2 linked regions of the Diceros bicornis minor genome follow. The protein of the gene in region 1 purifies or fractionates together with the protein of each later gene. This does not show direct contact. Links are inferred from orthologs where the notes say so. Each region holds a gene or a part of one and is shown on either strand. Other genes may lie near its edges.

Region 1 (7,088 bases):
CCCTATTTGGATTTTTCTATGACTTTCAGTAGAGTTTAATGATCTCTCCATAAAGATAATGCTATACTTATTCCTGGTGCTATATATGGTTTGTTTTGAGGTTTTCATTTTTCCAGTAACTTTTCTTCAGTTTGGCTTTCATATATGGCAAACTTGTTGAGCTGTCTTAATAGCTTTTCTGTAGATTCTCTTGAATTTCTTACTTAATCATATCAAATGCAATAGTTTCTTCTTCTGCAATACTCTTTTCTTTGTCTTAGTGTGCTAACTCTGATCTCTAGTATAGTTTTGTTCTTATTGTCACATATTTAATATTTTCAGAAACTGGCAAAACTCCATATCCATGGACTAAATCAGAGATTTCCTCCAATTCTTCAAATATCTCTTTGCAGATATCTCCCAAATTTCTCTCTGCTGCCTGCCCTCCTTGAGTTCCAGTCCTACATTTGCCACAGTCTCAAGTCAGATGCCTCCCACCACTTCCAAACCAGTGAGTCTAACACTGAACTTACCTGCCCTCAAACCATCTCCCATCTCATCTCCCTTATTAATGATAAACTTCAGTCATCTTTTAGCCCTCCCTCTCTCTCACTCAATTTCTCTCTATTCTACCTTTGTGAGATATCTCTGCTTTTATTTTATTTATTTTTATTGAGGTAAAACTGGTTTATAACATTATATAAATTTCAGGCATCTATATAGTTTTGGAGAGTAGATGTCTTCACTTTGTCCTTGGCTTTAAAAGGCATTGCCTCTAATGCTTCACATTTAAGTATGACTTTTCTGTCTAGATTTTTGGCCGACAATTTTTATTAGGTTAAGGAAGTTTCATTCAATCAGTGATTTTCTAAGTTTTTAACATCCCAAATGGGTGGTACTAAGCCATTTATAATGCAAAGAAGCTTTGTTCTTTAAGCCTGTCCAGTCTTCTTGGAGGACTTGTTTTTTATATTTGGAGATGCTTCTGGAAAGCCTTCTTCCATCTTTGAACCTGCCTCCTTTTCACCCCTAGCCTTGCTGAACACCTTTCAGGGAAATCCATTTAACTTAAATCAGCTTTGACTGGGATGCTGTTCAGTTTTCAGAGATTAGCCCATTTACAGAAAGACCTTAAGGGCCTCACAAATTACCTCCAATCATTTCACAGATAGCTTACAAGAGATACAAGTCCGAGTCAGAAGCCCAGCTATTAACGGTGGTCCACACAGTAGAGCCAGGGATAAATCTCTCTTAAGAGTCTTTAAAGAAAGTATGAACATGCCTCAACATTCCATTCTCTTCAAGCTCTACCTCACTCCTTAGTCAACGAATGAGCTAGTCCTGCAAAAAAACTGACACAAATGTACCCCAAAGCTTCCAAGTGGCCATGACAGCTGGAAGAGGATTTGACTGTGCATTCTTACACCTGTGAAGGACACTACTTCTATAGGGGAAAAGTCCTCTTCAAGTGTTATCAACTATTGCAGTAAACAAAGATTCAGCAAAAATAATCCCTGGGCCTTATGAAAATGAAATGACATTTCAGTGCACTTTCCCATCTTTTTTTCTGTGGGAAAACATGCATTGTTGAACAGCTGGCTTTTCCTTTGTTTCTTTCATTCTTTCTGTGCCACAGTTAATAGGGGATGCTTTATAGTTTAGTCTTTTTTTCTTCTTCACAACACTTAAGAGGAAAAATAATTCTTCATATTGCTTTCAAGCCAGGCTGCATCAGCATTGTACCTGGGAAGGAAATGGCTAGGTTCTGGGAGAGGCGTTTTTTTTTCCCTAGTCAAAATATACACATTGTTGGAGGGTTTCCAGTCAGCCAAAAAACATTTGACTATTTCATCCTGAGTGCTATATAACTTTCCGAAAATGTTAGAACATCTTATGCAGGCAGCATGCCTTGAGAAGCCTTTATCTCCCTGGGTGTAACCAACTTAACAATAAAGTTTGACACCTTTTGGGGAGTCATTTAAAAAGCCACAGGTTGCTTGTTGATTAACCAAGCACCCCAAAGCATGTATCTGAGTTCTTTTTTTGTAATCCTAAAAAGCTATACATCTATCTTGTACTCTGAGAGTTATACAGATGTACCACACATCCCTCACCCACACACGTGATGGTGGTGGTGGGGATATATGGGAGATAAACACTGCTCTAAAGAGGCAAAGACGACAACCAATTTGGCAGTGGGGTAGAGTCAAATCCAGTTTTCCCACGCATCCTTATTAAAAGCAGCTGGTTAATGACAAACAATGTAGGCAAACAATGTTATTGATTTAAAAAGCAATTTTCAGTGGCCTTCCCCTTTAGGTTACTTTCGACATAAATCAGTTATTTTACGTATTTCCTTTCTTTGGTAAACAGAAAAAAGCATTTGCCTTTCTGATCCTTCACTTTGATACTTTTATTAGTATCAGGAACCAGTTAGGTCCAGACTGATATTAAAATGAAAAGTGATCTTCCGCCCATTTTTCTAACGAAAACAAAAAGATTACAGATAAATTTCAAACTTCGGTTATGTCAAAAAATGTAACTCTTCTATATTCTCTAGTAGCAAATAGAAGAGATCAGGGATCCCTCAACATTCACATTATAAACACAAACACATGTTCAACCTCTTGCCATGCATTTTCTTCTCCCAGGAAACCTCCAGCATCACCACTGTTCCACCACACGCCCAGCTGCGTGAGGGATACGTTGCAGAGAAAGCGAAGAAAAGACCCGGAGACAGCGAACGAGACATATGGGTTTAGTGGGGAGTTACTTACAGGAAAGGTCCAGTGCCGGCCGCCTGGGGGGGAAATGTGCACCCGCTCCCCCACCCTGAGAGAAGCTTGCTTAAGGAGACAGAGGAACAAAGGCTGCGTGCTTGCCAAGGGGGACTGTCCCTGTATGATCTGCATTCCAAGCCCCAGAGCACCCCGCCCTGGAGGGCCTCCGTGTTCCTTCAGACTGAGGGTCTCTGTGCTAACACTTCCAGGAAAAAACAGGTGGGGTGGCCAAGCCCAGGACTGTTAGCGTCATGAGTGCTGGCGCCTAGCCCAGCCAAGGAGCCTCAAGGACACAGGGTTTAAAGGGCACATAGGCTAGTGTCCCTACAACCACTTACCTCGTTTTATATGTAGCTGTTGGGAACAGTGCTTTATACACAAGCCTTTTTTGAGAACTGTAAAGCTGTGGTCACTTCTGTCCCCTTTCTTGCATTTTCTAGGTCAGCAGCTACAGGGGACAGTAGTAACACTGTCCTTATCACACTTAGAGCTATAAGGAAATTCCTTTCAAGATTATCTCCTCTATTTTGTTGATTTTAACAAGACACCCCAAAACTTTATACTGCATGTATTGGGCTTAAAACAGATTAAGCATCGGGATGTGTTCAGCATCAGGATCCTGTTTCTGAAGTGGAACAAAGCCTTCCCGATGCCTCGTTTTTGCTCATCCTCTGCCTTTCTTCCCCCGCCCCCAACCGACAAGCCCTCTCCCAGCGCTGGAGTAACAGCGGGCATTACAATACTTCAAGCCGAACAAGATACTGTTAAATCAAACACAGCATTCCCTACTGACAGCCTACGTTCAAGGAAAAAAAGCCTCTCATTGGAAAGTTCCTGAGGGAAAGGGAAACCTACGATTTCGACTATCTTTGCAACTGTGAAAACTTGCAGTTTTGAGAAGAGAGAGAGGTATGAGTGGGCTAGCACAGCCATCGACACCGCGCGTCTCCCTCTCCCCCTCATCTTTCTAACTGCGACCAGCTGCCTCAGCTGCCCGCTCAGCCGCCCGGGGTAACCCCACGCCCCGGCCGCCTCACGCCGGGGAGGGGCCCGGGGCCCAGCCCAGCGGAAACGCCCGCCGCCCCTCCCCCGCCCAGCAGCCGAGGCCGACGCGGCGCGCCGCCGCCTCCCGGCCACCTCCTCCTCCTCGCAGGCAGGGGAAGGGGCGGGGCCCGACGTGACGTCATGCAGGAAGCCCGCCCTGGTTGGAAGGAATTTAGAAGAGACGGGGGCGGGGAGGAGGCGGAGTCTAGTTTCCTTGGTGACGGGTTGCCCGGCGGTCGCCTGGTAACCGGTGGCGGCGGTCCGGGCTGCTGGGGCGCGGGCGGCGGAGGCCGCGGAGGTCTGAGGGCCGCGGCCCAGGCCGGGCTCTTTCTGTCTGTTGTGCGATGGCGGCCGCCGCGGCGGTGGTCCCGCCGTCGGGTTTGGAGGATGGGGTGTCCCGGTCCCGCGGCGAAGGGGCGGGGGAGGTGGTCGTGGAGCGGGGCCCCGGCGCGGCCTACCACATGTTCGTGGTGATGGAGGACCTGGTGGAGAAGCTGAAGCTGCTCCGCTATGAGGAGGAGCTCCTCCGGAAGAGCAACCTGAAGCCCCCGTCCAGGTGGGTGCCCTCGTCCCCCCGCGCCTGGGTGGCGGCCGGGCGCTGGGGACATGCCCTGCTCCGGCCTCTGGGGAACGCCAGCGGGTTAGCAAGCGCTTGCCTCCGCCTTCCTAGCCAGGAAAGGGCACTGCACCCCAAACTGGGCGACGGAGGGCCGTGGAGCTCACGGAGTTTAGACTTGGTATGTTGTAGGGAGTGAACAAGTTCTGGAACGGAGGAAAGGGCTGGAAGACAGCTTACCTAGTCTTTAAAGCACACACGCACCTCTGCGAACACACACTGTGTTTGTCCTGATTATAAAAGTACCTATTGTAGAAAACTCGGAAAAACACAAGAAAATGTGTAGAAAAATACTAAAATCACCCATAATCTCATCCCCGGAGGTAATGCCACTATCTTTTAGATTATCTCTAGTTTTCGTTTTCTCCTGAGAGGACTTGTCGTGGAGTGGCAACCCTGGGTACCTAGGACCTCCCTGAGCGCTTTACATACAGTTAGTAAACTTGTTGACGCTTTGCTATGCTTTGCAAGACTTCTGCCTTTGCAGTAACAATACTCTCAGAAACTCATTGGAAAAGACAAATGAAGGGACAAATATTGAAATTGTTTCTTTATCCTAGAACCTGAAGTTCTGCCCTTGTTCTGGTGGGGAAAAGTCCCTCATATCCTGAAGGCAGTGCCATTAATTGCTGAGAGTAAGAGACTGCTAGCATTTTCTCCTCCAATCAATGTAGTGTAGCAATAGCCAGATAAGTTTTATAGCTTTTCCTTCACATTAATACTTAACATTTATTTTATTGTGTAAGAGACTATTTAGATTAGGAAATCTATAGTACTCTCTCTTAATGGCTCAAATAATTTCCCATGACACCTTTGATCTCATTTCTTGCTCTCTTCCAGTAACTTGAATTGTAAGATATATAGGCTTCATGTAAACTGTCCACATGGCTAAGTCAGTCCATAATAGGAGAAAAGTTGGAAGAAAAAGTAGTGTTGTTTGATCCCTGATAGAAATTATAGGATTGGGAGTTTTTACTTAAATGAATTAATCTGGATAATGTGAACAACCAACATTTTCTGTTAATAAAAATGCATTTTTTTCCCAAGTATATTTTTCAAACTAAAAGAAAATGTCCTTAAGGGTCTATTGATACACCTCTGTACTATTTCCTCAGGAGTTCTGCAAGATGTTCGCCAACGGTTCTCCAAGTTTGGTCACCGCACCAACAGCATCAGCATCACCTGGGAACTTGTTAGAAATGCAATCCCACAGACCCTTTCCCAGGTCTACTGTATCAGAAATTCTAAGGCTGGAAGTCTGTGTTTTAACAAGCCTTCCAGGTGAATCTGATGCATGCTAAGGTTTAAGAACTACAGTCCTAGCTCTACAGTATCTTTCAGTATCCATGCCTCTGTCCTGGAGTTGTTATCAGCCAGTAAGGAAAAGATGAGTTGTTAGCGGGGGGTCCTTTGAAAGGGTTGTGAGCATATGTCTGGAAGGACTTCCTGGCCTTTTTTTCTTCCCAGCTTTCTGTTATCTTTCAAATATTTACACTTATCCTGCAGGAAAAAGTTTGAGAAACATGAAGGAGTAGACTGCTGATTCTTACGAAAAATACTTGTAACAACTATAAATATATTATAAACAATAGTTATAGCTACACATAAAAAGGCAAAATAAGATCTTTGACCAAACTTACTTGAGTGTTGTTGCTATCAAGTTTTATTCCTAACATGTTTAGGTATAAATCATAGTGATCCTCATAGGCCTGTTTTTAGTAGGCTAGGGGATTTAACAAAAGTCAACAAATGTTTGTTAGACTGGGGATGGTGATACTCAGTGGTTCTTAATCCTGGCTGTACCTTAGAACCATCTAGGAAGCTTTTGAAATGTACCCATAGTGGGGCTTCACTCCCAGAAGTTCTGATTTAATCCATGAGGGAAGAAGCAATGTTTGCCCCAGTAGCAATAGTTTTACGAGCTCCTCGGATGATTCAAATATGCAGCTAGTTGAGAACAACTGTATATTATAGGTTAGAAACAGTAAGTAAATACTCTAATGACATTGTAAAAGTGTAAAAATGTGTGATGAATAATCATTTCAGGTCTTTTTTTAAACTCTGAGACTCTCTTAATTCCAAATTACCATTTTCAGGAGGTAATCTCATTAATTATTCCTGACATGTAAATGATTTTGGCAAAAGTTCTACATGCTCTGTTTTTTTACATGCCCTGCATTTTCCGGGTGTAAGGTCTTTGACCTAATATTTTGTGTATAGTAGTAATTGCCCTAATCCTGTTGATTAAGAACTTTGAGTACTGTGGATTACTAGAAATTTAAAAGAGTGAATTATCAGTGTCTTGATTTTAAGGCCATTTGGGGAAAAAAAAGTCCTTTGGCGGTTTTGGACTTAGGTTTTTTAATTACTATAGGCTTATTTGCAGTATTTCATATTCCTTCATATTCTTCCCTTCCCCCTTGTTTTGAAATAGACACTATTTTGCATTGCCTACCAACCCTGGTGAACAGTTCTACATGTTTTGCACTCTTGCTGCTTGGCTGATTAACAAAGCAGGACGTCCCTTTGAGCAGCCTCAAGAGTATGATGACCCTAATGCAACAATATCTAATGTATTATCTGAGCTTCGATCATTTGTAAGTGTAAAGAGCTGTCTTCTTTCTGCATGTTCTCAAGTTATGAATTTTAATATTGGTAATTCAACAACA
Region 2 (7,937 bases), on another chromosome or scaffold:
AACCCTAATCTAAACACACAAAATTCCCACAAATCCCGCAGCCCTCTCTTTTGCATTGCCCCCTGACATGAAGGCATTAGAGCAAATCCGCTCTAATGTATGAAGGATATTCTTCTTGAGGATTCATGCCGAATAACTCTCAAGAGGCCTCTCCCCACTAATTTCCCCTAAAGCCTCTTATTTATCCAGAGGGATTGTTTTGGATCCAACGATCCTGCTAATACACTCTACAAGCAGGGGGGCTCTGAGGAGCGGCCCCGGCAGAGGAGACACCCCAGAGCGATGGCGGAGGGACTGTGCCCGGCACTGGGCACGGTCAGCTCCGGCGCTGAGCGTGGAATATTGTGGCTGTCCCTGGCACCGCGCCGCAGCTCCCACGCATGCTGCCTGTCAGGGCTGTCGGGAAGCAGTCAACCCCAGGATGATTGAATAGTCCCTGGGAACAACATGTCAGCAGCTGCCCCTCCGCCTCCTTCTCCCCCAAAGCCCTCGCTGCCTGATCAGCCCAAACAGCCCAGACCCCGGCTGTGGGGAGGAGCGCTGTTAACCCCTCCTCCTCCATGGAGCCTACGGAGCTGTAGGGTCTGTAGGATCTACAGGTGTGGAGCTGGGGGGGTGGCGGTGTGGAGGCCCCAGGCATCAGGATGCCCCCATCTGAATGGCCATGGCACTCCCTCCAGAAATAAGTCGGTTACCTGCACAAGAATGGATGCTCCAGATTGCTGCTTGTTGAATGAATGAATGACCAGAAGGGTAAACCCTATGAGATTCATTCATTCATTCAAAAATATTTGCTGAAGATCTTGCCATGCTGGACACTGTCCCAGACACTGGGAGGACAAGAGACCAATCCCTGCTCTCATGAAGTTTACCTTCTAGAGGAGGGAGACAGACACTACACAAACAAACAAATAAATATAGAATATAATATTGGGTAGTACTGAGTGCCATGAAGTACAGTAAGGCAAGAAGATTGAGACTGACAGATTGGGGGCAATTCTTTAAATGGGGTGCTTGGGAGGGCTTCTCCACGGAGGTGACATTTGACCGAAGATCTGAAGGTCAAGAGGGAAAGAGTCATGCTGCCATGTTGAGAACAGTAAGTGCAAAGGCCCTGAGGTAGGAAGGGTCTTGGGGAGTTCGAGAAACAGTAAAACAACCAGAGGAAGTGAATAAAGGTGGGTCCTGGCATGACTTAAGAGCAGTCATTCTCAAACAAGAGCTTGCATCAGAATCACCAGAATGGCTCATGAAAACACAGATTGTGGGTCCCACCCCCGGTGCTCAGTTGGGCACTTCTAACAAGTCAGTGCGTGATGCTGATGCCTCTGGCCCAGGGACCACAGTGTAGGATATTTTTCTTTAATGCAACAAGTCCTTTGCTACTCAACACTTACCACAAGCAGTCACAGATAATCATTGCTTGATTATCCACCTCCCCACTGGGCTGGATGCTCCCTGAGAACAGCGACGATGATGGTTCTGTCCATGGTGCTTAGTAAGTACTCAATAAAATATCTGTTGAACGAATTCTTCAAAGAACATTCTCTGCCGGGCCTTGCCTCTCTTTTGCCTTTCTGCTGTATGTTTGGCTTCAAGCAGATGCTCGGGTCACACCTAGTCTTATCAGTCTCCCATTCACACCTGAGCAAAGAGTGTCACCTGACATTCTCCAAGGTGGATGCACTCCCACAGCTCCACGCCTTTGCACATGCTGTTCCACCCAGGATGTCCTTCCTCCTGTGTCCGCCTCGTCAATTCCTACCCATTCTTCAAGGCTCTCCTTCCAGAATATCCTTCCCAACTCCACTCCACCGATCCAGGGTTAGGGGGTGCCCCTCTGGGTCCTGTATCCACTCATGTCATATGGATTTGATCCCACATTTGTCTTTCTTTCTCAACTAAACATTGCAAACGGGCAGCCCCCGGGTTGAACCAGTCAACTGAGGTGTTCTACTGCGGCTGCAGTGTTTTAAATTTAAGTACATTGCCAAAATTTGAGAATCAGGGGATTTCAGACAAAAATTCAGATTCCCGACTCTTCCAGAAAATGCAGGGACCTGCAACACTGGGCTGGCGTTCCCACGTGGCCATGATCTGCCAGAGCTGCCTGGGACTCTGTCACCTCCACTTCACGGCCCCAGCACAGTGCCTGGCCTAGGGAAGGCACTCAAGAAAAGCTTATTAGTGAAACCAGCAAGACCACACCAGGCAATGGAAGAACATCGGTCCCGAGAGCAGGAGCCCTGCAGCTGGCTCTGGTTCTGGCTGCCTTGTCACATGACCTTGGGCTTTCTATGGACCTCAATTTCCTCGCCTGTTAAGTTGAAGCAATGATAGTTTCCACTTCCAGAGTCGTTGCATCAAACAAGAGAGTGGATGTGATTTGTTTAGCACGTGCCTGGCATACAATGCTCAATCAGCGAGAGCTGCAACTGCAAGGAACTCAGTACACACTTACTGTCTAGGATGGGAGAAAGGGTGAGAAGAGTTAGAGGCAGGAGAGGCCCCTGTTCTGCCAGGGGGACAATGGTCTGCCTGTGTTCAGTCCCCAGTTCTGCCATTCACTAGCCTTGTGACCTTGGGCATTTGACTTAACCTCATTTGGGCCTCAGTTTTCCCATTTGTCGAATGGGGATGATACAGGCCTCATGGGGGTTAGTGTGAATATCAAATGTGAACATGAATATTAAATTAATCCTTTAAAGCACTTAGAATGAGGCTGGCACTCAGTATGTGCTCAACATACACCAGCTTTAGCTGTTATAGCTGCTCAGGAGGGACTTAGACTAGAATTTCTCAAGGGCCCTCATGGCTCCTAAACACTCTGACCGCCTTAAACCCAGTGACTCTGGGCCATGCAGCTGTCATTCAGTCATCAAGAATGTACAGAAGGCCCTTGAGATGGTGCAGGGAGGGGGGTAGAATTCACTATACAGGGTTTACCGCCTCTCTGGAAAGATCCAAAATGCTCTTACGATGGTGCTGACTACAAACATACAGAGCAGCAGCAATGACAGGGAGAGAGTGGATGTGGTGCAGAGAAGAGCCCTGTGTGGGAGGTGCCATTATGACCCCCCATGCAGATGAGGAAACTGAGGCTCCAGAGGCCACCTCCAGATGGATCTCAGTGTCTCAGCTCCACGGAGCTGCCTTGGAAGGCTGACTCACTCAAGGGCTCCTTTAAGGGATTAATGGGGTCATGGGGAACAGGACAGCCTGGAGGGGGAAGCACGGAGACCAGGCAGAGGCTTTCTGACTCACCGAGGCCTGGGGTGTCTGAGACAGACTCGCATGACATCTCTAAGAAGAAAAGTAGGTATGAGGAATGAAGCGGAGACAGGTCTTAACCATAACACTAGGAGTGACTCCCAAGGGAAGAAAATTTCAGACAACTTGCATTGTTTTACTCCAAATTCAGGGCTGAAACTTTCATAGCAGTTCGTGGAGTGTGTGTGTGTTCAGGGCCCTGCGCAAGGCTGGCAGCCACCCTAAGACACAGAGCAGCTGAGAGAAGGTCCAGGTAACTGAAAGGTATGTGATGGCGAATCCCGGGCGCAGGCATCTTCCAGGGGGGCTACTCCTCCCTTTCAGCATTGGCCATCCCAGGGGCGCAGCAGGAGCGAGAACAGCGGGGCATCGGGCCGGTCCATGATGGCGATGATAAACCAGACCTGTCCAGATAAATTTCTTCTCATTCAACACTCACTGTTGAGCACCCACCATGTCCCAGGCACTTACGTACTTTCTCTTTTAGTCCTCAGGACAACCCATGAGGTGGGTTCTACTAGCCCACCTTTAAAGATGAGGAAAGAGGCTCGGGGGTGAGGCCTCGCCCGGGTCAGGAAGATGGCAGTGATTTCAGTCTGGGTTTTCTGGCCACAGAGCAAGAGGGGCCTCTCCGGAAAGTCAACAGACATCGGCAAAGCCTCCGGTGTCCGGGCAATGTTCCTGGATGCTTGCTTTCATTCAATATGTGGTATGTGCTATGTGCTCCATCTTACAAGAGAGGAAACGGGCTCAGAGGAAAGTATGACTTCAAATGCCCTCCTCAAAGTTCACTTGTTCTCCCTTCTGCTCACAGACATCACTTGAAACACTTTCATACTTTAGACTTTAAAACGCATAACATCCCTGGGCTTGAAAAATGAGATTTCCCTGCGGGATGCGGGGCAAGGACTGCATTTCTTGATGCACCTCATAGCCGCGCTCCCGGGCACCCGGAATCTGGGGGAGCGACACGAACCTCCGCGACGCCAAACCCGCTCAGAGCTCGGTTCGGGCAACTGCGGCCTCCTCTACTGCGCAGGCGCCGCTGCAGACTTGAGCGCGCCCGACGGGCCTCGTGGGAGAACTCATTTCCAGAAGGGCAGGGGGGTGCGGCGAATCCCCATTCCTCCCGAAGATGGGCCAAGCCAGCCTCTGGCCAATCAGAAAGCTTCTTTTATCACCGCTCTAGCTGCACGAGGTTGGAGCTGCTTTTCCCTGAACTTTCCTGCGGGGCGGGTGCGGGAGGTGTAAATGGTTGACACCTCTTGCAACCATTCGCCGAGAGGGTTGAGCTTGAAGAGCAGATGCCACTACGAATTGCCTCACAAGGGAGGGCTGTTATCCCCGCCCCCTCCTCCCACTGGCCTCCGAGAACCTTCGGGGCGGGAGCTCTTGGCGGCAGCCAATCGAGGGTCAGCGAGGAGAAGGAGGAGGCGGGGCAGGCGGGCGATGGTTGCCCCGGTAGCGCGGCTGGCGCGGTGCTGGGGGCTGAGGGGCTGCGGGGTTGCTCTTCCAGGTCCCCGCTGCTGGGGGCCGGGCTGAGGGGTTGGACCGGGAGCGGGAGCCGCGCCGCCTCGCTCGCGCCTTTCCCGGCTGCCTTCTGAGGCCTGGAGCTGGGCCGCATCTGGCACGCCCTGCGCCCCCGTCCCAACCCTAGCACCCCTTATCCGCCCCCCGCGCAGCCCTGCGGGTCCAGGCCCCGTCGTCCCCGTCCCCACCGCGTCCACAGCCCCTTGAGCGTCAGCCCTCCTCACTTCCCTTCCCAGGCAGGCCTGCCAACTCCTCCAGCCGCCGCTCTTCCCCTCTCTGGTCCTTGGAGGTGGTTGGTTACCATGGTGAAGCTGGCAGCCAAGTGCATCCTGGCAGGTGAGTCTGAAAACTTGCGGTTGAATCCAGTCTCTGGAGTCCAACGACTTCCTAAGTTATCGAGAGCTTTGGTTCACGTAAATTGTCTGCCCGCTTTCCCTTTCTCTTGCCCAAAGGCGAGTTACTGCCGTTACTGATAGAGTCAATTCCTCTAGGCGTGGAAGAACTCTCTTCCAGAGCACGGTGGTAGCTCCGGCCGAGTTTCCCGCTCCTTGTCTACTCTGAGACCACCTTCTCCAGTCTGAGCTGTACTCAGGAGGAGTCGACGCGTTAAAAAATCAAGCTAAGCACACCATAAGTGCTTCACCGGAACCCACGGGCTGTCCCGCAGTTAGGCTTCAGTGACTGTGGTCGTCTTTACCTGTGGGATGATTTTCCTGACCCCATCCCCTCTGATAGCAGGGATAGGAGACGGTGATGTACGCTTGACTGGAGTTTGCAAAAGGCCCATGTGTGTTGTCTTTAAGACCCAAAGTTACTGTGCTGCCCACGCTCAGAAGGGCATGAACGTTGAGTCCTCCAAAGGCAGGAATCTTTGCCGACTGATACATTCCTAGCACCCAGAACAGTATCTGGGACATAATAGGAACTCAATAAATATTTGTAGAATGAATGAATTTGTGGCGTGCACATTTGTGGTGCTCTGTTTGTATCAGTCTGCACCTTTAGAAAAACATTTGCCTGGATTAGAGACCTGGGGCCACAGAACACATATGTCCCCTACTAGGTGAGTCCTATGTATGTGAGTCCTAACTGTATGCCAGGCACATGTATTTCATTTAATCCTGTCACGGTAGCCCGCTGGGGTCCGTGCTGTGTTGTTCTGATCTTACTGATGTGCTGAGAGCTGAAGAGTCTTGCCCAAGGTCACCCCCTAGTGAAGGAAGGTCATAGGATTTCAACCCCCAGATCTGCCCAATTTGAAAATTTTTGTGTTACCATTGAAACGTAGGCCTCTCTGGGGTTCCCTGACCAGCTCAGAAATGAAACGGTGAGACATTATCTAGCGGAGAAGGATTCCTTTTTTTTGATTCCGCTCTTTCAGACTGAAAATAGATGATATTTTTAATGACTTTTCTAAGTTGGACATAAAAGGGTCACACAGAAAGATGACTGACAGCAGTAGCTCAAATCATACTGGAGCAAAAGGAATTAATGGTTCTCAAGAGAGGTCTCTGGTTTCCAGAGCGCCAGGGGAGGCAGTATTGTGTCACAGAAATCATCTGGCTCTTCCTCTGATCGGCTGTCTCATGTTGCACAGAGCACTTCTCTGAGCCTCAGTTTCCTCAGGGATAAGGTGGGAACGTTTTTATTTTCTGAAGTTAGATTTTTTTAAATGGGCTTCTCTCTCTCTAACTGTTCTTTTTCTTATTTCTTTTTTAATTCAGCTTCTGTCATGGGGCTAGCTGACTGAGTACCTTTCGTGTGTCAGTACTGTGCTAGACCCTCACCACAGGTTGTCTCACTGAATCCTCACAACAATCCTGTGGGGTCGGCATTATTGTCATTCTCATTTACAGATAGGGCAGCTGAGGCCCAGAGAGGTTAAGACACTTGCCCTGGGTCACACAGCTGGATCTGATTTCCAGGGCTTTTTTCTCAGCCCCAAGCGATACCGTGCTCAAGCCTCGATTCTAGACTCTTTGCCCTTCTTTACACCCACTCTCCCAGGTACTGTTTCACCTAATTTCAGTAGCTGCCTAAGTGATTGCTGAACTCCAGCCTCACCCTCAATCTGCAGCCTCCTTTCAAGGCCTCAAGGGTATGTCCTCTTAGAAGTTTGCAGGGGCCAGGAGACTTCAGCACCACCAGCCACCAAATTCGCCTTCTCCATACCACCTCCACCACACACCTCTCTTCACTGGTTTTATTTTTTTCTTTCCCCGCACAGACCTAATCAATCTGTTTTTTCTCTCACATAACTAGTCACTGAGGGACCTGATATTTACTTCGAGTGCTTATTCATTCAACAGATGTTTATTGAGGACCTACTGTGTGTGAGTCACGAGGCAAGGTGCAGTGGGACTACAAGGAGAAATCAGGCCAGCCCCGACACTCAAGGAAGCGCTGAGATGTGCATCATAACTTATAATTCAATTCAAACACAAATCGAATGTCCTTTGTGTACCAGGTACCAGAGAAATACCTCAAGGCACAGCTGCTGATTGTTCTGGTTCAAATGAAGAGAGAAAACAACACTTGACATTTATCTATATTTGTTTAAAAATCACTTAAATATTACTAACTATATGTCAGGCACTGTACATGTTAACTCTTAAATCCTCAAAACAGTGCTATGAGATAGGTGCTATTGTTACCCCCATTTTGCAGATGTGGCAGCTGAGGCCCAGAGAGGTTGCTGACCCAAGGTCACACAGCGAGTAAGTGAGGGAGCCGGAGTCTGTGCCCTAAGCACTGTGATACGCTGCCTGTGGATGTGCGTGGGGATGCTCACAGTGCCTCCCTGGAGGCCTGCTCTGCCATCAAGGCTCGTGCTGCCAGCAGTGAGCCATGTTACCCACACGGCTAAAGACAGGAGGGGGAGATGACCTTCAGAGGCCAGGCAGGAAGGACCCTCTGAGCTTTGCCTGTTAGAAAATGAGCAGGATTTAGCCTTGGACCGGAGAGACCTGGAAGGAGGTTGTCTTCGAGGGATTTTCAGAGATGAAGAGATTAGGAGTGTGGAGCCCATATTTGGGGTGAGGGAGGGGCGGAGAGAGAGTTGGGGAGGGTTAGGGGTGACAGTGGAGGGGGGTGTGCCTGGAAGGAATCCTTGGGGGTTCCTGTGTGAGAGCCTAATA

Evidence for each region. Proteins that work in one complex are often made in the same cells at the same time.
Region 2: the proteins of IFT57 (region 1) and IFT27 purify together in Homo sapiens (co-immunoprecipitation; 3 studies listed by BioGRID and IntAct, with this or other methods). This does not show direct contact. The link is inferred for Diceros bicornis minor from reciprocal best matches to the Homo sapiens genes IFT57 and IFT27.

The regions. Positions count from the first base shown.
Region 1 is NC_080754.1:11,471,350-11,478,437, reverse strand, and holds the start of IFT57 (intraflagellar transport protein 57 homolog), read left to right. Parts: upstream 1-4,067; 5' UTR 4,068-4,147; coding exon 4,148-4,359; intron 4,360-6,853; coding exon 6,854-7,016; intron 7,017-7,088. UniProt on the Homo sapiens protein: Required for the formation of cilia. Plays an indirect role in sonic hedgehog signaling, cilia being required for all activity of the hedgehog pathway.
Region 2 is NC_080764.1:12,873,166-12,881,102, forward strand, and holds the start of IFT27 (intraflagellar transport protein 27 homolog), read left to right. Parts: upstream 1-4,874; 5' UTR 4,875-5,102; coding exon 5,103-5,136; intron 5,137-7,937. UniProt on the Homo sapiens protein: Small GTPase-like component of the intraflagellar transport (IFT) complex B that promotes the exit of the BBSome complex from cilia via its interaction with ARL6. Not involved in entry of the BBSome complex into cilium. Prevents aggregation of GTP-free ARL6.